Cricetulus griseus: one gene and its partners. The protein of the gene in region 4 interacts with the protein of the main gene of each other region in a biochemical or structural test. Links are inferred from orthologs where the notes say so. Each region holds a gene or a part of one and is shown on either strand. Other genes may lie near its edges.

Region 1 (4,046 bases), on a different chromosome or scaffold from region 4:
TTTAGTAACTATCAGGTCTGAATGAGGAATTGTCTTTCCCAGTACTATCAATTACCTTTCTCAAACTAGATCAATGAAACCTTGGGTCTAGCACTGCTTTTTACATTCTTCCAGTTTGACCCCTTCCTGTTGTAGCTAGTTATTCTACCTTCTATGTCCTCAAAGTTCTTGTTCCCCAAAAATGCAACTGTCCCATGACTCAGTGCTTTGATATTAAGTATTTCTCCTGCTTAGTACAATTCTCTGCACCCTACAAATTTCTACTCATTCTTTAAAATTCAGCTCAAACGCCACACTTTAACTGTTAATCTTTCTATTATAATAGACTGCTTCAAACTGTAAATACATATATACATAGTATAGCAAATTACTCAAAATCTACTAAAGCTATTTAGGTGTCTACTCCTGCTTGAACTGAATTCTAGAGGTAATATCCCTTGGTCCTGGTAAAAACCTAGCATAGTAAATGTGCAAACTAAGAAAAAGGACTTTGTTAGATCTAGATGTAGAATGAGAACTTAGGTTCCCTCCTTTTGTTAGAAATCCTCATGGAATCCTGTGTACACAGTTAAGATCTTGGGCCTTATAAACAGAATGCCTGGGGCTCAAATATGAGATCCCGAGTAATGTATCTCTCTCTGTCATAATCTTATCATTCTAAAATTGGTCCACTGTCTGGCATGGAAGCACAAACCTTTAATCCCAGAACTCGGGAGGCAGAGGCAGGTGGATCTCAAGACACTTTATCTAAGTAGAGGTCCAGGACAGCCAGGGCCACAAAGGAACCCTGTCTCAAGAACAAAAACAAAACTGGCCTACTATTATGATTAAGTTGTACTTACTGGCTATTACTTCCATCTTTTTTGTAGTATTTAAAATTCTAATTCTGCCAGGTTGTGGTGGTGCTTGCCTTTAATCCCAGCATTCGGGAGGCAGAGGCAAGCAGATCTCTTTGTGTTCAAGGCCAGCCTGGTCTACAGAGTGAGTTCTGTAGTTCTGGGACAGGCTTCAAATCTACACAGAGAAACTCTGTTCTCAAAGACCAAGAAAAAAAATTCTACTGCTATATGATTTTTTTCCCAAGACAGGGTTTCTCTGTGTAGACTTGGCTGTCCTGGAGCTTAATTTAGACCAGGTGTGTGCCACTATCACTCAGCTTCTATGTGAATTTTTAAACGACCCTTCTCCAATAACCTATAAGCTTCTAGTGTGGGAACAATATATGTTTTATCCCTTACTGCATCTTTAGTACCTAGCATAGGGACTGACACTCAACTTTGTAGAAATGAACACATGGATTAATGAGGCATGTCAGAAGAATCACAGCTCTTGTGAGCAAAACATGTACTTCCACCCAGGAAGACACACACCCTGGTAGCTATCAATGATGAGGAAAATGGAGAAAGCACCAGCCACCTAGTGGATGGGAGAGGAAGAAGCCCCCATGTTGTACCGGATGTCTAACAAGTGGTGGGAAATGGGTTGGGATTTTCCTCTGGTCAGAAAAATACTCCTGTCTTTGCAGTTCACATGTGACTTGCTTGCTTTTAAATTGGCAATTTCCATAAGAAAGAGCTATTTGAGGATACTGTTCTACTTGAGCTATGACAAAGCCCAATCATTTTATTCTTAATTTATTCATTTTCAAAAGTTTGAGTATACACAAGTATTTCCTGATGTGTGAAAACTGTGTGAAATTGACATTTCAGTGTGCCCAGAAATAAATTTCATCAGTTCCAGAAATCTAAAACATTTGTTACCTAAGCGTTTGCCTACCCCATGGGCTGGATGACAGTCCCAGGTAAGACTGGGCAGTAGGGTGGATTCAGACCACAGACCCCTCTCTTCCTCCTCTAAATAGGGATATACCTCCCCAACTCTCTCCTTGGACAGAGACATGACAAGAAAGAGAGAGTGATGTGCTGTGGCCTTGCAATTCTGTCCCTCCTCTGTAAAGCTGCAGGACAACTTTATATTCATTCCTAGCTCCTGTGTCCTTGCTTATTAGCACATAGGCTAGCATAACTCACCTCTCTCTCTCTCTCTCTCTCTCTCTCTCTCTCTCTCTCTCTCTCTCTCTCTCTCTCTCTCTCTGTCCTACTAACGCTCATCTGAGGGGTAATTCATGCCAGCTTCCTTTCTACGGGCCTGTCATTCTTCCACAAGTTACGACAAGCGGCAATTCCCCACGAGTGGTTATGCTAGTCCTCATTAAGATCGAGTCCCTACAAAAGCTTTTAAGATAAGCACTAGTCGGCTACCAGGAAAAACCGCTAGCGGCTCTTACCAAAGTAGTCAAGCCAATTCATCTCGCGCAGCGCCTTGGGGAGCCGAAGGATCTCGATGTTGTATAGGTTCTCCACCTCCTTGAGGAGGTTCTGTCTGTCGGACTCGATTTGATTGATTCGAATTTGCACTGCGGAGAGATCAAAGCCGACGGATCCAGTGTCAACAAGAGGGCGAAGCCATCGCACCCGCGCCCCAACCCGCCCGAAATTCTCGAAGGCCGCGGATCCGCCCCTTACCCTCGCGGTCGAAGTCCTTAAGGAAGGAGGCGAGCTTGCGGCTCCGCAGCGCGTTAGCTCTGGCGCCCCGGCTGCTGCCCTTCTTGGGAGCCATGGCGCCGGGGTGAAGGCTGCGTCGAACGAAGGACCGAGCAGCCGGCTCAGCGGCTGAGACGGGGAAAGAGGACGTGAGCGCTCACGGAGCAGCGGGGGTTCAGTCGTTGGAGTCTGGTACCCAGAAGTCTGCGGACGTGTCCCTGCAGGCGCCGAAACACAGACCCAGGAAACCTCGCAGCTCCAGCTGAGGGAGAGGTTGCGCCTCCGCTAACCGCCACCCAATTCAAACTCAACGGATACAGGTTGGCCAATAACAAGTCGCCGTCTTGGGACGGTTCTCTCACCGCCCAATCACAACAAAGCTTCTTCATCCCGCAACCAATCTCTATAGAGGACTTCAATGCCCAGAGGACATTGCGGCCTACGCTTTCTTTTCGCGACTCCAGAGTCGCGCTAAGTGGAACTAGACTGTAGGGTTTGCTTTTGAGCATGTGCAGAGAGTGCCAAGCGCAGTGTGGTTCTTGGTGTCCACTTAGCTTTGGCTACCCAGGATTTGAGTTTTCCTGCGGATTTAGGGACACGGCTGGCAGTCTCAGAGGAGATAAGACCCTGGCTCCAGAAGCAGGAGTTCGAGGAGAGACAGGCCCCAGGGACTCGCAGTCTAAAGCGGAAGGTTGCCCTGTCCTTTGGAAGCCTCTTTTGAAGACTTCTAGGACCCCCTTCCTGAGGTGAGAAGCAAGGGTCCTTCTGCAGAGAGAGCTGGTAAGAGGATCGCCAGAGCCTCCACTCTTGAAAGTCAGCGGTGACAAGACAGAGCCACAGCTTCACCCTGCCACCCTCAGCAGCGTGAGGCGTTCCCCTAAGCTTTTAGAGACTGCAGCCCAGTTGGTGGCTTTGAAGCTGCAAAGAATTCAGGGCTAGCCAGTTTAAGAAGCAGAGTTATGGGTGGGAGGGGGAGCTGTGGTTGGAATGTAAAATGAAATTAAAAAGTTAAAAACATGGAAAAAAGCAAAATCACACACACACACACACACACACACACACACACACACACGAGAGTAGGAATGTAACACTGTCTGGCCTGGAACTCTCTATGTAGACCAGGTTGCCTCTATCTCAGAGACCTGTCTGTCTCTTGACTCCTCAGTGCTGGAATAAAGGTGTATGCTACCACGCCCAGCCTAAAGTTACTATTAATTTTTTGTTTGTATTTTGAGACAAGGTTTCTCTGTATTGTTTTGGAGCCTGTCCTGGAACTCGCTCTGGAGACCAGACTGGCCTCGAACTCACAGAGATCGGCCTGCCTCTGTACCCTGAGTGCTGGGATTAAAGGCGTGTGCCACCAACGCCCTGCTTTTTTTTAAAAGTTATTTTTAATACAGGCTTAAGGACGAGGCTTAAGAGAGAGGCACCTAGACAGAAAATAAAAGACACTTGCAGGCTACTCAAAAAATTAAGTATGAAATAGCGAAGTGGGTGTGGGCT
Region 2 (3,551 bases), on a different chromosome or scaffold from region 4:
ATTTTGTTCTTAACCAGGGGACTACAGAAATGACTCATCAGTTAAGAGCATAGGCTGCTCTTCCAGAGGACTCAGATTGGATTCTTGGCACTCACATGGCAGCTCAGAATTGTCTGTAATTCTAGTTCCAGGGGAATCTAATTCCCTCTTCTGGCTTCTGAGGGCACTGCATGCACATGGCGCTCATACATACACCCAGGCCAAATATTCGTGCACATAGCATAAATCTAAAAGGTATTTGAAGAAATTTACATCAGTGTACTTTTGATTTTTCTAGACAGGGTTTCTCTGTGTAAACCTGATTGTCCTGGAACTCTCTATAGACCAAACTGTCCTGGAACTCAGAGATCCACCTGCCTTTCCTGGATTACAGTCTGTGCCATCACACCCAGCCCATAGCTGAAATCTCTTCATTGCTTACTTTCTCTTGTCTTTGAGTAAAAGAAAAGGAAGTACTTAACAGTTGGTGGCATCAGCTGAGTGTTGGTGGCTCACGCCTTTGATCCCAGTACTGGGAGGCAGAGGTAAGGGGATCTCTGTGAATTGAAGGCCAGCCTGGTCTACAGAGCAAGTTCCAGGCCAGGCTCCAAAGCAATACAGAGAAGCCCTGTCTCAAAAAAAAAAAAAAAAAAAAAAAGTTGGTGGCATCATTACTTGCTCATGAAAAAGTGTTGTTTGTATAAATCAGTAGCATCGTGAAGGTAAGAAAAGTGATCAAGACTCTTGTTTTTGTTTTGAGACAGGATAGGATCTCTTGCAGCCAAGGATAGCCTCAAACTTACTATGTAGTTTAAGATAACCTTGAAACTCTAGTCCTGCTCCTATCTCCAGAGTGCTGGGATAACCGACATGAACCATCATGTATAGTGTATGAATTGGTAGGGACCAAAACCAAGGCCTCACATGCGCTAGGTATGCATTCTACTAACTGGGCCATACTCCATCCCTACAAGACTTTTAAAAAATTTTATTATTATTATTTAAACTGTGTATGGGTTGGGGTATGTATACATGAGTTCAGGTACCTCTGGAGGCCAGAGATGTCAGATTCCCCTGTTGTGTGCCACTTGGTTTGGGGGTACTGGGAAGTGAACTCAGGCCCTCTGAAAGATGTTTCATGTTCTTACCTGCTAAGCTATCTCTCAGCCCCTGTGGTGGTTTGAAAGAAAATGACCCTTAAAGTGAGTGGCACTATTAGGAGGTATGGCCTTGTTGGAGGAAGTATGTTACTGTGGAGGCAGGCTTTGAGGTCTCATATACGCTCAAGCCACACCCAGTGATACAGACCACTTCCTGCTGTCTATATATCAAGATGTAGCCAGCACCATGTCTGCTTGCACGCCACCAAGCTCCCTGCCATGATGTTAATGGACTGAACCTCTGAAGCTGTAAGCTACCACATCAGTTAAATGGTTTCCTTTATAAGAGTTGCTGTGGTCATGGTGTCTCTTCACAGCAATAATAGAAACCTTCACTGAGACAGCCCCCAAGACTGTTTTAATGTGTACTTTGAGAATATAAATTCAAAACCTGATATAATATCTTTGTGTTTAACGGCAGCTCTCTCTCTTGGTCTCAGTGATGTAAGAAATAAAGACCCTTTTTTCCAGGGAATGTTGGCAGATTTTGTGTCCCAGACTTCTCCAATGATTCCTGCTATTGTTGTCAGCTGTGTGAATGAGATAGAGCAGCGAGGCCTGACTGAGGTGAGAGTGGACTCCACACAGGGTGAGCTTGTTGTTTGTGTTAGTAATTTGGGAGTTCCTGACTAAGTGTTGTCTTTATAATAGGCAGGCTTATACAGGATCTCAGGCTGTGACCGAACAGTAAAAGAGCTGAAAGAGAGATTCCTCAAAGTGAAAACTGTACCCCTCCTCAGCAGAGTGGATGACATCCATGCCATCTGTAGCCTCCTGAAAGACTTTCTTCGGAACCTCAAAGAACCCCTTCTGACCTTTTGGCTAAGCAAAGCCTTTATGGAGGCCGCAGGTAAGGGCAGAGCTTGGTGCTTGACTGTGATTCCAGGACTGAATTTTGCTCATACATTTTACTATCCCTGCTGCCCAGTACAGTGCCTGGGCAGTAGGTACTCATATAATTGGTGGGTGAATAACTACTATATACGTCATCCTGCCTTTTTCTTCTTTAGCTATATAGAGGGTCTAAGAGATGGCTAAGTGGCTGAGCACTGGCTGCTCTTCTAGAGAACCTGGGTTTGATTCCCAGCGTCTGCATGATGGTTGGGTGGTGCCACCTGAAACTCCAGTCCAGGAAATCTGATGTCCTCTTCTGGCCTCTTTGGGTACTACATGCAATGTAGCTCAGACATTAAAAAAAAAATGTTTCATAATAAAAAAAATGTACGTAAAATGAATAGGATTTTATAGGGTTTGTTGTTGCTGTTTGCTTTTTGGTCAAGTCTTATGTTGTCCTTTTGAGATCAGAACCATCTTTGATTCCTTTCTTTTCCACCACAAATCTTGTCAGTAGACTTGTAAATACACCTTAAATTTGATATTTATCACAAGTCATGGTATTAACTGTCCCTGTCTACTAATTGTAGAGCTGGCATGTCCCTTTCACATGGTAATCTCTATGCAGGAGTTGGAGTAGTCCTTTTACACTCCAAATTCATGATGTCCTTTTTGTCATCTATCCATTATTTTTAGTTTATGTTATCATAGTGTTTTTGAGACAGTGTTTCTCTGTGTAGCCCTGTCTGTCCTGGAATGCACTCTGTAGATCAGGCTGGCCTCCCGAGTGCTGGGATTACAGGCGTGTGTCACCACCGCCCGGCTTTCCCATCAGTTTTAGACTGAATTCATCCCTAACATGGTTGAAAAGACCCTGTGTGACTTGGCGCTTGGTTATGCCTCCAACGCCATTTTGCTTTGTACCTTCCTTCCTCTTTTTGAATCCTGGAGTCAGTTTCTTTTTATTTTGTTGTGTGTGTGTGTGTGTGTGTGTGTGTGTGTGTGTGTGTGTGTGTGTGTTTTTGCCTGCATATATGTCTGTACCACATGCACATAGTGCATACATAGGCCTGAAGAGGGTGTCGGATCCCCTGGAACTGGAGTGGCAAAACAATTGTAAGTCACTGTGTGGGACTTGGGAATTGAACCCTGGTCCTCTGCAAGAGCAGCCAGTGCTCAGCCACTGAGCCATCTCTCTGGCCCTAAGTCTTGGATTTCTTAGCATATAATCACCTCAAGTCCTTCCTACTTGTTAGTCTTAGCACCAACTTTTTCTCCCTAGATCTGTTTGTAGTTTGCTTTACTCCCACCACCCCCAGCTTCTCTTCATATATTTTGTCCTCAGAAACACTTTTCCTAAACCAGGTTTGCTGACATAGTAATCCCAGCATGTGGGAGGTGAGGCGATATTGATACCAGCTTTGGCTGCATGGTGAGCTTGAGACTAGACTAGGCTACCTGAGAACCAGTTTCAAAGACTAAACAAAAGCTGCCCTGGGCTGGCGAGATGTCTTGGAGGTTAAGAGCACTGACTGCTCTTCCAGAGGTCCTGAGAGGTGGCAGCTTCCATTGCTTTCT
Region 3 (4,134 bases), about 69 Mb from region 4:
GTTTGTTTGTTTGTTTGTTTTTCAAGACAGGGTTTCTCTGTGGCTTTGGAGTCTGTCCTGGAACTAGCTCTAGTAGACCAGGCTGGTCTCAAATTCACAGACATCCGCCTGTCTCTGCCTCCTGAGTGCTGGGACTAAAGGTGTATGCCACCACCGCCCAGCATCATATAGTAATTCTATGTTTAAATTATGTGTTTGTAGGTAGCATACTGAGGATTGAACACAGAACCTTGTATATGAGGCAAGTGCTTTAACATGAGCTATGTCAGCCTTTGTTTGTTTGGTTTTTTGTTTGTTTGAGACAAATTTTACTACATAGGATGACTAGCCTAGAACTCACTAAGCTAGGCTGCCCTGAACTTAGAGCAAACCTCTTGCCTCTACCTCCCAAATGCTGGAATTAAGATCCACAGATGAAGTCAGGGCACCTATGGCCCCATCTCCCAAAGCCCCCACCCCTGAGCACTGCTGCACTTGGGACCAAGCTTCTGTAGGACATTTCAGGTTCCAGCCATGACACATTTCCATAGCAGCTGCACCATTTTACACCACCCACCCCAGTGTTGCAGAAGGGTTCTGTGAAACCACTGATTATATAAGGAGATTCTTGATTAGAGTACACGTTCATGGTAGAGCATTTAGAAAACTCAAAAAAGCAAAATGACGAAATTGAAATCCTCTTTATTCTAATTGCAGAGATATGACCCGAATTCATATTACTCCCAGGAGAAAGGGAAAAGCTGTTTTTTTTTTTTTTCTCTGACAGTTCTGTCATGGTGTTCAATAGTATAGTCCAGGAACAGTGCTGGCTCGTGCCCTGCCTGGACCTTGTCCTCAGATCCCATCGTCCTGGCTGTCCCCTCGACCCTAGAAAAGTTCACGGTGTTAACCTGGCCTCTGAATCCTATTTGCTGGTTGCTCTCGGGAGGGTCCCTCCCGGGAGCTGTGTGGAGTGTCACATTTTTGGGCGGTCTGTTTCTCCATTCTCAAAGCCACACCAACGTTGATACGAAAGCGTAAAACGTTTGAGGGAATGAATTCTAAAAACTCACCACCTACATCAGACTGAGTTGTCCTTTTGCCCAGAGGGCACCAGAGCAAGCTAGTCGGGTCAGTCAAAGATCAACACGCAAAATGTGAGAAAGCCCCGCCTTCCTTAGCTTCTCCAAGTGCCCATTGGCTGACTCTGCGGCCAGACCCTCATTCTCACTGGTCCTTGTGGCTGTCGCTCCACGGTGGCGTTCCAGAGCCAGCCACTGAGAGTCACGGAATTGGGGATTTAAAAAATGCGGTAGGCGGGGTGGGTTTTTTTCAAACTGATGGCGGCCGAGCTCCTGCGGCTCTGACACGCTCAGTCACCTCGCTCTCTCGTCGGGCTTAGCGGAGGCGGCGGAGCTTGGACCCACTCGCGGCCAACCATGGGCCCGCGCCGCAAGCCGAGGACCCCGAGAAGGCGCCCCTCCAGCCCGGTCCCCGGACCCTCGCGACGCAGCTCCCGTCCAGGTAAGCGGGCCTGCCGGAACCTCAGCTCTGAGGGTGCTGGGGACGGCCGGCTTGAAGAGGGTTCCGAACCCGGGAAACCACAGGCCTAAGGGTAAGGGTGCTGAGAACACAGCTCAGGCCTTCTGGAAGAGCGACAAGCGCTGTTTAACTGTTGAGCAAGCTTTCCAAGCCCAACATTTTATTATTTTACTAGCATACTTGGTCTCCCCAGCCTAGTTCAAATCACTGGCGTTTCTTCTGTCCTCCCTTGACTCACAGTTGAGAGTTCTGTCCACGGCCATTTGGGCTGGAGGCATGGGGCAGACGTGATGCTGGGGGAAGCTGAGAGTTCTGGATCTGGATCTGGAGGCAGCAGGAAGTAATGATGACACACTGGAGCTTCTGAGACCTCAAAGCCCACCCCTAGTGGCATGCCTCGTCCAACAACGCCACATGTCCAACTAGTGCCACTCCCTATGGGCCTGTGGGGCCATTTTTTCAGACCAGCACATTATTATTTACATGTGTTCATGTTTGCCTGCATTTGTGTGTTTATGTGTGTGTACACGTGTGCACGCACACCAAACCTAGAACCTCTGCAAGAACAACAAATACTCTTAACCAATGAGCCATCTCTCCAGCTCCAATTTTTATTTCTAATCATATGTATATGCACCGTAGTACAGGTGCCCAAGTCATTAGTGCCCCCTGGACCTAAAGTATAGGCAGTATGAGCCACCTGATGTAGGCGCTAGGAGCCAAACTTGACTCCTCCTTAACAATGATACACACTCTGACCACTGAACCATCTCTAGCTAGGCCTTAATTCATTTGGCATTCTTGTTTTCTACTAGATATGTTTGCCTCTGGTGCTTTTAGTTGTTTTATGTTTTGTTTTGTTTTGAAGGCGGGTTTCTCTGTGTAGCCCTGGCTGTCCAGGAACTCACTCTGGAGACCAGGCTGGCCTCGAACTCACAGAGATCCTCCTGTCTCTGCCTCCCGAGTGCTGGGACTAAAGGCGTGCGCCACCACCACCTGGCTCTTTTAGGTTTTTAAAAGTAAATTTTTATATTATTCATCTTAAATAGTCTAATATCAGTTAAGTTTCCTCTTCAACATTAGGGTTAGATGTATTTTTTCTTTGTGTTTCAGGGGTTTGAACCTGTGGCTTTGTGCATGTTGATCAAGCACTTTACTGCAGAGCTGCATCTCTAGAGCAGAGGGTTTTTTTTAAGTTTGGTATTTTTATTTTCTAGTGAGAATTTGAATTTTTACCAAAGGCTGTGGCTTCACAGCCCGCATTCCTAGCATTAGCACTGAATTATGCCACTTCTAAGGTCCCAACTTGGCCTCTAATGAGCACTAGCCAACTATCTTTACTTCCCTGGGCCCAAGACAAGCAAGATAAGAGATCCGTACTAGGTAGTATCTCATTCCCTCCAGCTGTTACAAAGAAAGAAAGGACCTAAAAACTGAATAACGAACTTGGAACATCTAGGTGGGAATGGGAAAGATATGAAATGCATGGGACCCAACAGGAAGGATCTGTTAGGAAGGAACTGGGATTTGAGAAAGGCTTCATGGAGTTAACACTCCAACCCAAAGGCCCAGACTGCACTCACTCTCTTAGTAAGCCTGTGGTGAGCACCTGTGTGTCTTTTCACACTCAGTGTGTGGCAAGCACTCGTGTGCTCTTGCTGACTCCACCAACTAGAAAAAAGAGAATCCCTGCTCTGTGGAGTATAGTGGCAAGGTTTGTCTTCAGCTGGGCCACAAGGTACCACTTATTTCCACAGCACTTCCCTTATGACCTAACTCTCCTCAGGTAAGAGGCGGAAATTTCTGTGGCTTAAGGAGATAAAGAAACTGCAGAGGAGCACCGACCTCCTGCTAAGGAAGCTTCCTTTCAGCCGAGTTGTGAGTTCTGGGGACACCCTCACTCTGCCTTGGACCACCTTTGCTTTAAGCCTCCCACATATGGGAGATTTCTGCTTCTTGCTGATGTGGATAAAGGTTGCTTCTAACCCTCTGGGGCGCTGCACATCCTCGGTTTTTCTGTTGCTGATTTCTCATTACTGTAGTAGAGCCCTCTCACCCAGTTTCCCTCCATACCCTGGAGATTGCCTTTTCTTCTCTCCACCCATAAGCTATGCCAGTTAAAGCTCCCAGGAGTCCGCACCTACCCTGAGCCAGGCCCTTAGATCAAGGGCAGCACATAATGGTGGAAGTGAGGATGCTTAGAGATACTTGGAGAAAGACCATCTACTCTTTGATCACTCTGCTATTCTCAGCTCATCCCCACCCTGCTCCTCCACAGGTAAGAGAAATATGTGGGAAATTCACTCGAGGTGTGGACCTATGTTGGCAAGCCCAAGCCTTGTTGGCCCTTCAAGAGGTAAGAAGGAGTAGGTATTGGTAAAGGCTAAAAGGGGGAAGAGCATCCCAGAATTCCACAGGACGGCATAAGGGGTGGGTACCACAGACTGTTCCTGGCCTCCTGAAAAGAGTAGCCAATGGGCAATACCTGACAATTTGGGAGGGTCTGATGGGTGGCCATTGGGTTCACCCCATTCTTTACTTCAGTCCTTTGAGTCAGTATGTCTCCAAGAAAAAACAGTCCAGGTCCTTCATCCATGTCAGTCTTTGTGTCCC
Region 4 (4,318 bases):
GGCATATTCCAGTATCAAGTAGATCCTACGCCGGTCATAGAAGTAGTTGTAGAGCCGAAGAATGTTGGGATGTCTGGGGCAAAGAGAAAGGAAGCTTCGGCTTGCATCTAGGAGACAGGACAGATGGCAAAGACCTAGATCAGGGTGGAAGTATAAGGAAGAGCTGGGTAGGTGGTCCAGATGGTGTAAGACAGGGCTGGGGATGCAGAAATAGGAATGTGGGGTGATGAGGTTGGCAGAGGGGCCAGGGCCAGGGGTGAGTAGCATACTGCAGGTGTGCCTGGATTTCGATCTCTCGGCGCAGCTGGTGCTCCACTCCCTCCTTCTCAATCTGAGACTTGAAGAGGATCTTGAGTGCCACGATGAAATGACTTTTTTTCTCCCGAGCCAAGTACACATTTCCAAATTTGCCTTTGCCCAGAGGACGCCCAATCTCAAAGTCGTCAATAGTGAGGGACCGCCTGATTAATAAAGTGGGGGGAAGGCAGCTAGCTCAGGGCTGGCTGGCTCAGATTCTAAGGTGTTTGATTTCTCTCTATCTGTGTTCCCTTTAATTTCCCCATTTCAGCCTCACCACAGTTTAAGTTCCCCGACTTACTCTGGGGTACTTACAAGGCATTGGAGCCCCGACTGACATTTTCAGCCAACTTCTGGCCAGGGGCAGCTAAGGAGAGAGCAGGCATGTTGAGTTCCTCTTTGACATTCTCGCCTTATACCCTCTCTTGGATTCTGGTCCCCTTGGGCCAGTCCTCTCCCCATTGTCCCAGGTACCTGTGGACTGGCCATTGGACCGGTTCATGAGGGCAAGTGCAGATGTCACAGCAGACTCCTTCTGCAGGACTCTCTGGGGCAGGGTGTTCAGGCCTGAATGAGACTGAGGAAAAAAGGGAAGCTCTGAGTGTGTTCTTGTCCCTGTGGTCTAGCTGGAATGTGCTATAAGCACCGTTTCAGCTACTTGTTAAAGAGTCCATCCATCCACTCACAGTTCAAACAATAGTGATACACCATGGTTTGACTACCTAGCCCCAGAGGTCTGCTCATTGCTCCAGAAGAAATGGGTTATTAAGAAACAACCTGAGGCTGGGCGTTGGTGGCGCATGCCTTTAATCCCAGCACTCAGGAGGCAGAGGCAGGCGGATCGCTGTGAGTTCAAGGCCAGCCTGAACTCCAGAGCGAGTGCCAGGATAGGCTCCAAAGCTACACAGAGAAACCCTGTCTCCTGGCACACATCAGTAACCCCAGCACTTAGGAGGTGGAGGCCCTTGATCAGGAGTTCAAGACAATCCTCAACAGTCAGTTCAAGGCCAGTGTGAGCTAAATAAGGCCTTGTTTTAACATCACCCTCATCCTCCCCACAAAACATCAACAAACAAACAAAGTAAAGGAATGAATGAAGAAAGCAATCGAAGACAAGGGAGAAGATGCCCTCTGACACCTAACAATTCACCTGGCCCTGGCCCACACCACCTGCTCAAGCACAGCACCGTCCAATCTGGATAGCTCTACACCACATTCATCCAGGCTCACATAAGAGCTCGAGCTCATGAAGTTGCCACACCAGAGGGATGCTGAGGGATATTCAAGGCCTCAAGCCACTTCTTCACTTTCAGACTTCGCTGAGTAATAGATCATTCCATTTGATAGTGACCACGGTGAGTGTAACAGTGGTGTCACACTCAGACTCCACTCTTCTCGGTTTTACTCGGTGCTTCATGCGGGAAGAATCTGGGACAAGGAAGCAGATGGGCTGTCCAGGATGCCCAGGTCCCACCAACGGGGACAGACTGAAGAGCTCTTCATTTTGGTGTAGGGCTCAGGGTCCCATTAGCTTGCCAAGCTCATTACAGATGTGCTGTATTACAGGTTTCTCATTTCTTCAGCCAAGAGAAGGCCCCAGGGTGCCTACAAACCTCCCCCAGTGATATCAGTATAGATTGGCCCATGCGTTCACACACACACACACACACACACACACACAATTTCAAATCTATTTGGATCCTTAGCTACAACCACTCATTAATATAAATTCTGGGGCTGAAGCGTAGCTCAATGGTACATCAAAACTGGAGGTCCTGGGTTTGCTATCCAGCCTCACAAATAAAATTTAGACCTTCCTGGACCTGTTAAACAGTAACTTTGTATTCTACAGTCTAATTTCTGTGTAGTTCATTTTCTCAGACTAAAGGGTGGGATTCACCGCCCGAAAGCACAATACTGCTGCTTGCTCAGTCCCAGTTATTATTTGCATGTGACAAGCAGACTCAGCTCTGCAGAAGCCCTCAGATTCAGGTTGACAACATCTGGATAGGATACGGCTGCAAGTGATCAGACTGGGCTCTGCATGCAAACTCTTGGGGAACACGTCGGAAGCGCTTAGAGGACAGCCATCGGCAGGGTGCTCCATCTGCCTCCGAGGACTTGCCTTCCGAGGGAGGTGGGGCGAGGAATGTGGCCGGGACCTTACCTTCTGCGAGCCGTAGGGCCACGGGTAGGTGTTCTCCTTCTGGGCCATCTCAAGGAAAAGCCGGAGGAGAGCTGGGCAGAGAGGGAAGCAGCGGTGAGAGGGAGAAGATGCAGAGATCTGCGGGGAGCGCAAGCGGGGGCGGGCGGAAGGAAACCAGCGCGCAGGCCGAGGTCGGGGCGCACCTGTGCGCCCCTCTCCGCACCCCTCCCTCTAGGCGGCCGGGCTGGCACGTGGCCCGCCCAACGGAGCCGGACGCCGTGGACCACCCGCGCCCTCCGGAGCCCACGGCGCAGCGGCTCTCCTCTCAGCTCGGCGCCCGCACGTTGGAGAAGCCGCCTGCCCTGCGGCTCCGCGACTCCGACACTTTCAAATCTCCCGCTCTGAGCCCATTGGCTGAGCCGCCACCCAAGCCCGCTTTCATTGGCTACGTTTCTTGTGACGTAACTGGTTGAGACGCAAAACAAGAAGCGGATTGAGATGCTCCTTTCTCTAGGCTGAGGCTGCTTTCCCAAGATATCACACTTTTGTATAATAATAATATTAATAATAATAATAATAATAATAATAATAATAATAATAATAATAAATAATATAAACAATAACAAAAATTTAAACTGGGCAGTGGTGGCGCACACCTTTAATCCCAGCACTCAGGAGGCAGAGGCAGGTGGATCCCTGAGTGCGGCGAGGCCAGCCTGGTCTACACAGCGAGTTCTTGAACCATCAGGGCTACACAGACAAAAACCCTGTCATGGGGAGGGAGCGGAGTAGAGGAGGATTTAGACAGGGCGTAGAACCCTGTCTCAAAAACAACACACTAAGATTAATTGTTACCTATCTCTTCTCCCCTCTCTCCCTCTCCCTCTCTGTGTATGGGCGTGTGTAAAACTTTTTTTCTGCCAGATGGAGAGACAATTATGCCCACGCCTTTGGTTAAACTGTTTTACCTGGAGAGGCAGAGACTCGTAGATGTCTGTGAGTTCGAGGCCAGCCTGGTTTCAGGACAGCCAGGACTATTACAGAGAAAGCCTGTCTCGGAAAAAAATGAACAAACAGCAAAAACTATCTATTTCGCAGGAGAATTTAAATGCTGCCCTTAATGATTGTACAATCCTCTTTAAGTATCCTTGGGGTATCATCTTTAGAACGCCCTACGTTACCTAATCCAGAGTGCTCAGGTTCCTTATATAAACAGGCATACTATTGTATAGGACATAGATTTGCATTGAGTTTGTAACTCTCTCAGGCTCTTTGGCTAATCTCTAGATCACCTAGCTACCTAATATTATGGAAATACTGTGAAACAGTAGTAAAGCTCTCTGTGAGGGAGTATGATGCAGGGAGGAAAAGTCAATACAGATGTAATCCATTAGATGAGACAGATGGATTTGAAGGTTTGACAGACAGACAGACAAGCAATTTGCTGAATCCATGGTTGTAGAATATGTATCTGTGTTTCTGGATTCCCTATTCTCCTTGTCTGATTAGTATTTGGATTTTATTTGAGACAGGTCTCTCTGTTAAGCTCAGGTTGGCCTCCAATTCACTATATAGCCCAGGCTTGCCTTGAAATTCTGATCCTCTCATCACAGCTCCCAAAGTACTTGGATTACAAGCACACAGTATCAGGCCCAGCTTGCTTATCCCTTTTCTATTTCTTCTTAAATGTCCTTTGAGTTCCTAGAAAGAGGTTTCCAGTGGTGGAACTTTCTGTGCTGGGTCCCTGATAGCTGTGGGATTTGAACACAGTTCAAATCAAAATCCACTCTTCTGTAAATGCTTTGTTCTTAAAAATCCTTTAATGTTTCTTATTCTAACATTAGGCTTGTAATTCTACCACTCTGGGGCCTGAGG
Region 5 (2,859 bases), on a different chromosome or scaffold from region 4:
TGTGACTGGGTCTGTCATTTTTACATTTCCCTCACCACACCTACTCATGGTTTCTGGACCAAGCTTTGCAGGTTATAGCAAAGAGGGAAGAGAAGGTAAAAGAAAGGGAAGGGGCATGTAACTGCTTCTGCAGTTTACACAAGCATGGCACTGGGCTGCATAATAGCCAGTTAGAATCTTTCACCAACTAATTCCTCAAAGGCAACAAGCAACATCTGCACAGTGAGGTGAGGGCTGGCTCAAGTCTTTGCTCTTTGAATAAAAGTCGCACATACTTGTTCAATCTCCTTAGTCTCACCCCTCAAAAGATTTATTTCCCAAGACAGGGTTTCTCTGTGTAACAGCCCTGGCTGTCCTGAAACTCTGTAGACTGGGCTGGCCTTGAACTCAAAGAGATCCTCCTGCCTCTGCCTCCCAAGTTCTGGGATTATAGGCATGCACCACCACCACCCAGCTCCCTCAATAAACGGAAGTCAAATCAGAGAATAATGGAGAGCACAGAGCAGAGCGACATTGATTTTTATTGAATAAAGAAGGGAAAACATGAACATCATAGAGCAAAGGCAGCTCTCTGGTGAAGCTGCTACACTTTGTGCTAAATAATCTCATGAACCAAGAGTATACAGAATACATAGAACAAGTAAGTTACCTCAACAGCAAAGGAGAAGGAAGAGAATACAGATTTTTTTTAAAGATAAAATTTGGTCAAATGACAAATTTAGTTGCTCAAAATTTCTAGCCCTTATCCACCTAAATTCAGTATGATTCTACATATATGTGTTCGGTGTTGTCCATACTGAATCCCCATTTTTCACGGAAGCTGCTTTTTAGAAGATTCAATTTTTTTAATTTCACATTTATTTGATATAATACTCAATTTTTAAAAATCTGTGTTTGATATAAGTATGTGTGCATATTTATACACACTACAAAACCCCAAATTAATTCTTATAAGTAGAGGGTTCATGCTTCCCTCCCCACATACTAATGTTGTGAATTTCAGTTATTTCTCCTGTGTGTCTAAGAAACTTGGTGTGTTCTCAATGCACCCACACGGTCAGGTGGGTTGACAGATGTGTCAAAAATACTTCATGAAAAGAGGGAGGTATCTCATGCGAGTTGGCAACCTTTTGTGTATTGTTTCTTGCTGGAGCAGGCTGCCTCCCTTTGATATCTTACAGTTAAAGATGAGAGGAAAACTTCTTTACTCTGAAGCTTAGTGAACACAGTTGTACATTTACTACAATCCACCTTCAACTTGGCTTACAATGTAAGATGACAAATACCTTACAACCAGTACACAGCATGAAAAAAGTACTGAAGAAACATTTTATAGACAATACTTTTTTTTCTTGTTAAACATCAGCTTCTATGGGATATATTTCCAGGATGGTTTGTTACCACTTTATAAACATTCTAGGCCATACAAACATCACAAGGAACATCAATGTCAATTTTTCCAATATCTGTATCAATTACTGGAGGCTAATTCTAACAGATATACTACTTAAGGGAGGAAAAGAAGATAATCATGACACATTTCAAAGAGAGCAATATAGCATTTTAATTGTAAGGATGATCAGGGTGCAGAAAGAGGGGACTCTCTAGAAGGTGATGGTGTGCTGCTTTCAGGCGGAAAAACTGTAAGTGTACAAGCGCGAATGCCACCAAGGGACTCAGGAAGATCGAAAACCTTATGCCACTCATCTTTCTCTGGATCATATTTCTGCACTATCTCAACCATACAGCGATTATTCCATGAATATCCACCAACCACATAGATCTTATTCTCAAAGACAGCGACCCCAACATCACTCTGCCCTCTTAACATGGCAGCGATTGGGGTCCACTGGTCATGGATAGGCGAATAGTATTCACAGCTCAGGACATCATCATAATCACTGGTTCCCCGGAAATGGTTGCCTCCAATGACATACAGCCTGTCGCCCACTGTACACATGCAGTGTAGGCCTCGGACAGTGGTCATCGGTGCCTTCTGGGTCCATTTGTCAGTATCAGGGTCAAAGCACATGAGCTCCTTTTGGAAGGTGTCATGGGTAATGCCTCCTAGAGAAGGAAAATAATAGGCATGAGGCAAAGAGATCATAACAATGCAAAAGTAAGGCTCTCTCATAGATAATTAACTTTTAGTTATATTTTATGGCATATTGTAGCTTACAAATAGTAAATTTATAAGTATCATCACTCTATAATTATTTTAACAAAAAATAAAGAAAATACCGTGTTCAACATTTCAAGACCAATGAAAAAGGTCTTATATTATTACAGTAACTTTCTCAAATGGAGAGTGATCATACTTAAGAAGTTTCAATGAATGGAAATATATTTGGGCCACTATTATAGTTGAGTCATCAGTAAATGTGATCTACAAAGCATCAGTCTGTTGTGACATTTTAGTGGGTAGGCTATGGGTGATGAGCACTGGACTAGAGCACTTTAAATTCCAGGTTCCCATGAACTCCTTTTCCAAATCAGAATACCCATTCTGGCTAACATATTAGGATTATGAATACAAAGCAAAATTTTTGTTAAAAAGGGTTGAATGTCTCATGCCAGTAACATACCAACCTGGAAGATTATGCAAAATTCTTGGGTTTGGAGAGTTTGGAATGAACAGGAAGAAGTGACATCTGCTATCTGCTTTGCAAAGCTAAAGAATTGAAATTCTGACCATTATATATGTAACAGTTGATTGTTGGTGTATTTGGTCTTTATAACCTACAAATTGATTAAGACTAAGAAACATAATCCAACCTATGTAATGAAAGTATCAATCTTTACCTTCGGCAAACAAGGAGCAGACCTAAGCTAATCTTTAGCTGTATCATTTGAAGAGCT
Region 6 (4,130 bases), on a different chromosome or scaffold from region 4:
GAGTAATCACATAGCCTAGTTAACAAATTGTCAAAAACTATCCAAGAGGGAGGTAGCTGTACCTTGGCAATCTTTTATTATTTTAGTTTATAACAGGGGGACCTTCATTTTACTGTTTTAGTCAAATCAAAACTTTCAACTTTGTAGCATAATAGACAATTACACATTCACTATGATCACCTACAATTTGACATATGTAACACCACAAAAGATATCTAATTTTTCATATATCTTTCACTTGTTAAAACAGCTAAATATGTGTTAAAACACATTTTTTTCAGAATGTACTTGGTAGCCATTTAATAACATATTAAGCAAAACAAAAAACCCTAAGTTACCTTTTTGTCTATTAACTGTAGAGAGTAATAAGAGACAATTGAAGGGGAAGGGAGATCATCCATGAATACACTGAAAAGGTATTACACCTTGTATCTAAGAATGATCTGAAGGTGCTGAAAGAGGCGATTCTCTTGAAGGTGACCCAGGGTTTTCTTCAGGCGGAAAAACTGTGAGAGTACAAGCCCGAATGCCGCCAAGTGACTCTGGAAGATCAAAAACTTTATGCCACTCATCTTTTTCCGGGTCGTACTTCTGGACAATTTCTACCATGCAACGGTTATTCCAAGAATATCCACCAACAACATAGATTTTGTTTTCAAAAACAGCAACTCCAACATCACTCTGACCTCTCAGCATAGCAGCAATTGGAGTCCACTGGTCAAGAGTTGGTGAATAATATTCGCAGCTGAGAACATCATCATAATCACTTGTTCCTCTGAAGTGGTTGCCACCAATCACATACAGCTTGTCTCCAACTGTACACATGCAGTGCAGGCCTCGGACTGTAGTCATAGGAGCCTTCTGTGTCCATTTGTCTGTATCTGGGTCAAAACACATGAGCTCATTTTGGAAAGTGTCATGAGTAATTCCTCCTGAAATATACATTAGACCCCCATACACTGTTCCGGCATGACCATAGTGGGGTTCACTCATTTTCGCAACATAGCTCCATTCGTTCATTCTTGGGTTGTAACATTCTACTGTGGCCAGTTCACCAGCTGCACTGCGCCCACCAACTGCATACAAATGTCCTTTAAGGGCACTCAGGTGAAAGAATGTGCGCTTTTCATTTAATGATGCCACCTGCATCCATTTATTATACCGAGGGTCAAATCTGAAAACTGTATCAACAGCAGTTTTTCCTTTTGTATCATAATTACTCTGACCACCAACTACATAAAGGAAATTTCCAATAACAGCAATGCCATGCTGGTATCGAGGAGCATCCATGGGGGCTAAGGACTTCCACTCCTGTGCCCTTTCATCGTACATCCTCAATTCTTTACTGACCACTAGCTGCTGCCTCAGAACGCCTCCTAAGGTAACAAGGTGAGTGGAATCAGAGCGAATGGCAGTTCTGTCTGACTGCATCACTGGCTGCATATATGGCATCATTTGGTAATTGCTTGCTTCCAAAAGTAAATTCACACAGGTATTGTCTGTTCTCATGAAATCTACTGTCTGCACATAGTTGATGAGGTCCTGTGGTGTCATCAGTGGAAATCGAATATTCTTCATTAATTTTGCAGCATAGTCCATCCGAGGGTCTTCCAGCCTCAACCAGCGGCAGGCTGCCTTGAAAAGTTCAAGTTCGGAACAGTGCTTGAGACTATTGCTGGAAAGCACAAAGGCAAGCCGTTCAAAGGGGAGTTTTAGGAACTCCCCAGTACTCAGCAATGCAGGAAAGTTCTTCAGGATGAAATTATTTACATATTTATCCACTTCTATAAGATTGTAGGTGTTAGCAATCCGTCCGACCTCAACACAGTTATCTAAAGAGACGCCTGATATAAGAAATACTTTACAAAAGTCCAAAACTGGTAAGATTTGTAGAAAGCTGGCAGCTTCAAGGGTGTCCTGAAGATTGTCCATGTTAAGGGACAATTTTGCGGTATAAATAAAATCAATGATTTTCTTCAGGCCAACTTTGTTCACCCCATGAAGTTTAATGCACATTAAATCTTGTTCTTTCATTCCGCCTGTGAACATGGCCTTGAAATAATCGCTAGCAGACGCCATCATGGCTCTATGAACCGGGAAGATCTCATCGCCATCACCAGGTACCAGAGTCACGTCACAAAGCAGGCCCTCGAGTCTGAGCTGATCAAAGCCTTGCAACACCACCGAGCTGTGGGTATTGCTGGTAAAAAACCGCGTCGTTCCTGCCTTGCAGGGCTGCAGGTGGGCAGAGACGCCCATCTCGCCGCCGGTACCGAGAGACACCTTCATGTGAGAGCCCTGCGTTCGCAGCGAGCCACAGGCCGCAGACGTTACAAAGAGAACGCTCTGAGCAAACTCAGGGCCGCAGAACGAACCAAGGGCGATCAGTCGCCGCAGCCCCGCTCCGCTCCGCTCCGCGCACACCCACGCCCGCCCTGCGGCAGGATCACGCAACGCGGCCGGCGGACCTCAAATGTGACAGTAAAGCCGGTGAGTCATAACCTGAGGCAGTTCAGCGACCGCTTCACCGCGGCGGGCCCGCGCTGTCGTCCTCTGCAGCTGCTCTCGGGGCGGGGGAGGGGCCGTCACGGCCTGCGCACCGCCGCCACCGCCCGCCGGGCTCCGCACCTCCGCCAGTCGCCGCTACGCCCTCGGAGGTCCGCGTAGCGTCTCCTCGGCCACCGGCTCGGCTGGGAGCAGGACCTGGAACTCTGGTTTAGGGCTGGAACGGCGGCCTAGACCGAACACCTAGCTCGTCCTTCCGGAAAGGCCGAATCCCAGGATCCCCCGGGTTAGGAGCGGCTGCACAGCTACTGCGCCTGCGCGGCTGGCCTGGCAAGGGGGCGGGCGGATGGGGGAAGGGCGCGGGCGGGCTGGGGGCGGGGTTGCGCTCCCCCAGCGAGGCCCTGGAGGGGGCCCCCTTCTTGCAAGCTTGCAGGAGTGCGCAGGCGTGCATGCATGCTTGCTGCGTGAGGTTTTCTTACCACTTTCCAAGAGCGCATTCTTTCTAAGATTTACGCTTCTTCGCTTGTGCCAGAACAGCCACGAAACGCAGCCTTTGTTAAAAACTGAGGAGAAACCTGGCAGAATAAGTCATTGTATCATTTAATTAAAAAAAAAAGTTTTACAATTTACATCACACTCAATAAATGCCTCACTTAAAATAGGAGTTGTAAGTGTTTTTAAGCATTTAAAACACGTGGCATTTAACTTGTTACTAAAGTTTGGTCCTAATGATACCTCTTGAAGACTTGGAGGGAGAGGGAAAGCCATCATAAAGACTTTATTCATGGTTTTGTTTCCTAAATACTTTTTAAATGGTTGCACAATTTCCCAATAATTAAGCATGTTATAGTTTACTTTGCCCACTGTTTTTCTCCTGAGTGTATAAACCTTGTCCTTCATTGTCTTATGGAAAATTAATAAGCTTAGAGAATTTGCACACAAAACCTTATTCTCTATTGAATAATGATAATATTTATTAGAATATTCAACTCAATGTTTCCAAAATAATGTTACCAGCACTGCTTGGGTTTGCATTTCCCTTCTCTTGGATTTCCCTTTTATGACTTTTTTTATTTATTAAAACACAGTTCTCTAATTGCAAATTTTAATTGTGATTTGCAATAAGTGTATAATTTGCCATAACTCTCTATTCTCTGAATTTGACGTTATCGCTGTCTTTAAATCTTTCTAGCATTTTCTTGTATGCAAACTAAAAATATGCTTATGTTCTTCTACTTCCTGTTTTGGTTTTTTTCTTTTTTTACTAAATAGCATATATCCTGTTATATCTTTCTCTTTTTTTGTTGTTGTTCAAGATTTTCCAAAATCGGTATATAGAGAGCTTACTTAAAACATGTTGTAGAGGCTAGTAGACCAGCATTGTTTTTCCAAGGTGCTCTAGCAGCAATCCAACCTATTTGATACAAGAGCCCTGTTTAAATGAGACTGATCTTGAGAAATTCTTGCCAGTCCAGGAACATTCTGGGAGGCTATTTGGTATAAGAGTTGGGGTGAGCATTCCCTGACTTGCTGTAAAGTGTGGGCTATCTGTGAAAAGGGACATCCAAGGGATTACTTCCTATATGGAAAAGGAAGAACAAAATCACAGTGCCTAAGAAGGTATC

The links.
Region 1: the proteins of Aurkb (region 4) and Cdca8 form a complex in vitro, tested with the Homo sapiens proteins (3 studies listed by BioGRID, with this or other methods). The link is inferred for Cricetulus griseus from reciprocal best matches to the Homo sapiens genes AURKB and CDCA8.
Region 2: of the proteins of Aurkb (region 4) and Racgap1, one has a biochemical effect on the other in vitro, tested with the Homo sapiens proteins (2 studies listed by BioGRID and IntAct). The link is inferred for Cricetulus griseus from reciprocal best matches to the Homo sapiens genes AURKB and RACGAP1.
Region 3: of the proteins of Aurkb (region 4) and Cenpa, one has a biochemical effect on the other in vitro, tested with the Homo sapiens proteins (3 studies listed by BioGRID). The link is inferred for Cricetulus griseus from reciprocal best matches to the Homo sapiens genes AURKB and CENPA.
Region 5: of the proteins of Aurkb (region 4) and Klhl13, one has a biochemical effect on the other in vitro, tested with the Homo sapiens proteins (2 studies listed by BioGRID and IntAct, with this or other methods). The link is inferred for Cricetulus griseus from reciprocal best matches to the Homo sapiens genes AURKB and KLHL13.
Region 6: the proteins of Aurkb (region 4) and Klhl9 form a complex in vitro, tested with the Homo sapiens proteins (2 studies listed by BioGRID and IntAct, with this or other methods). The link is inferred for Cricetulus griseus from reciprocal best matches to the Homo sapiens genes AURKB and KLHL9.

What each region holds. Positions count from the first base shown.
Region 1 is NC_048595.1:28,118,783-28,122,828, reverse strand, and holds the start of Cdca8 (borealin), read right to left. Parts: upstream 2,847-4,046; 5' UTR 2,620-2,846; coding exon 2,526-2,619; intron 2,417-2,525; coding exon 2,288-2,416; intron 1-2,287.
Region 2 is NC_048595.1:396,064,387-396,067,937, reverse strand, and holds part of Racgap1 (rac GTPase-activating protein 1), read left to right. Parts: intron 1-1,610; coding exon 1,611-1,706; intron 1,707-1,790; coding exon 1,791-1,989; intron 1,990-3,551.
Region 3 is NC_048600.1:13,682,823-13,686,956, reverse strand, and holds the start of Cenpa (histone H3-like centromeric protein A), read left to right. Parts: upstream 1-1,327; 5' UTR 1,328-1,418; coding exon 1,419-1,503; intron 1,504-3,307; coding exon 3,308-3,399; intron 3,400-3,799; coding exon 3,800-3,877; intron 3,878-4,134. UniProt on the Homo sapiens protein: Histone H3-like nucleosomal protein that is specifically found in centromeric nucleosomes. Replaces conventional H3 in the nucleosome core of centromeric chromatin that serves as an assembly site for the inner kinetochore.
Region 4 is NC_048600.1:82,920,692-82,925,009, reverse strand, and holds the start of Aurkb (aurora kinase B), read right to left. Parts: upstream 2,826-4,318; 5' UTR 2,513-2,825; coding exon 2,465-2,512; intron 1,726-2,464; exon of another isoform or gene 1,448-1,725; intron 875-1,447; coding exon 772-874; intron 665-771; coding exon 613-664; intron 462-612; coding exon 270-461; intron 108-269; coding exon of another isoform or gene 74-107; coding exon 1-73. UniProt on the Homo sapiens protein: Serine/threonine-protein kinase component of the chromosomal passenger complex (CPC), a complex that acts as a key regulator of mitosis.
Region 5 is NC_048604.1:31,135,863-31,138,721, reverse strand, and holds the end of Klhl13 (kelch-like protein 13), read right to left. Parts: intron 2,068-2,859; coding exon 1,580-2,067; 3' UTR 514-1,579; downstream 1-513. UniProt on the Homo sapiens protein: Substrate-specific adapter of a BCR (BTB-CUL3-RBX1) E3 ubiquitin-protein ligase complex required for mitotic progression and cytokinesis.
Region 6 is NC_048595.1:59,402,341-59,406,470, forward strand, and holds the start of Klhl9 (kelch-like protein 9), read right to left. Parts: upstream 2,813-4,130; 5' UTR 2,290-2,812; coding exon 433-2,289; 3' UTR 1-432.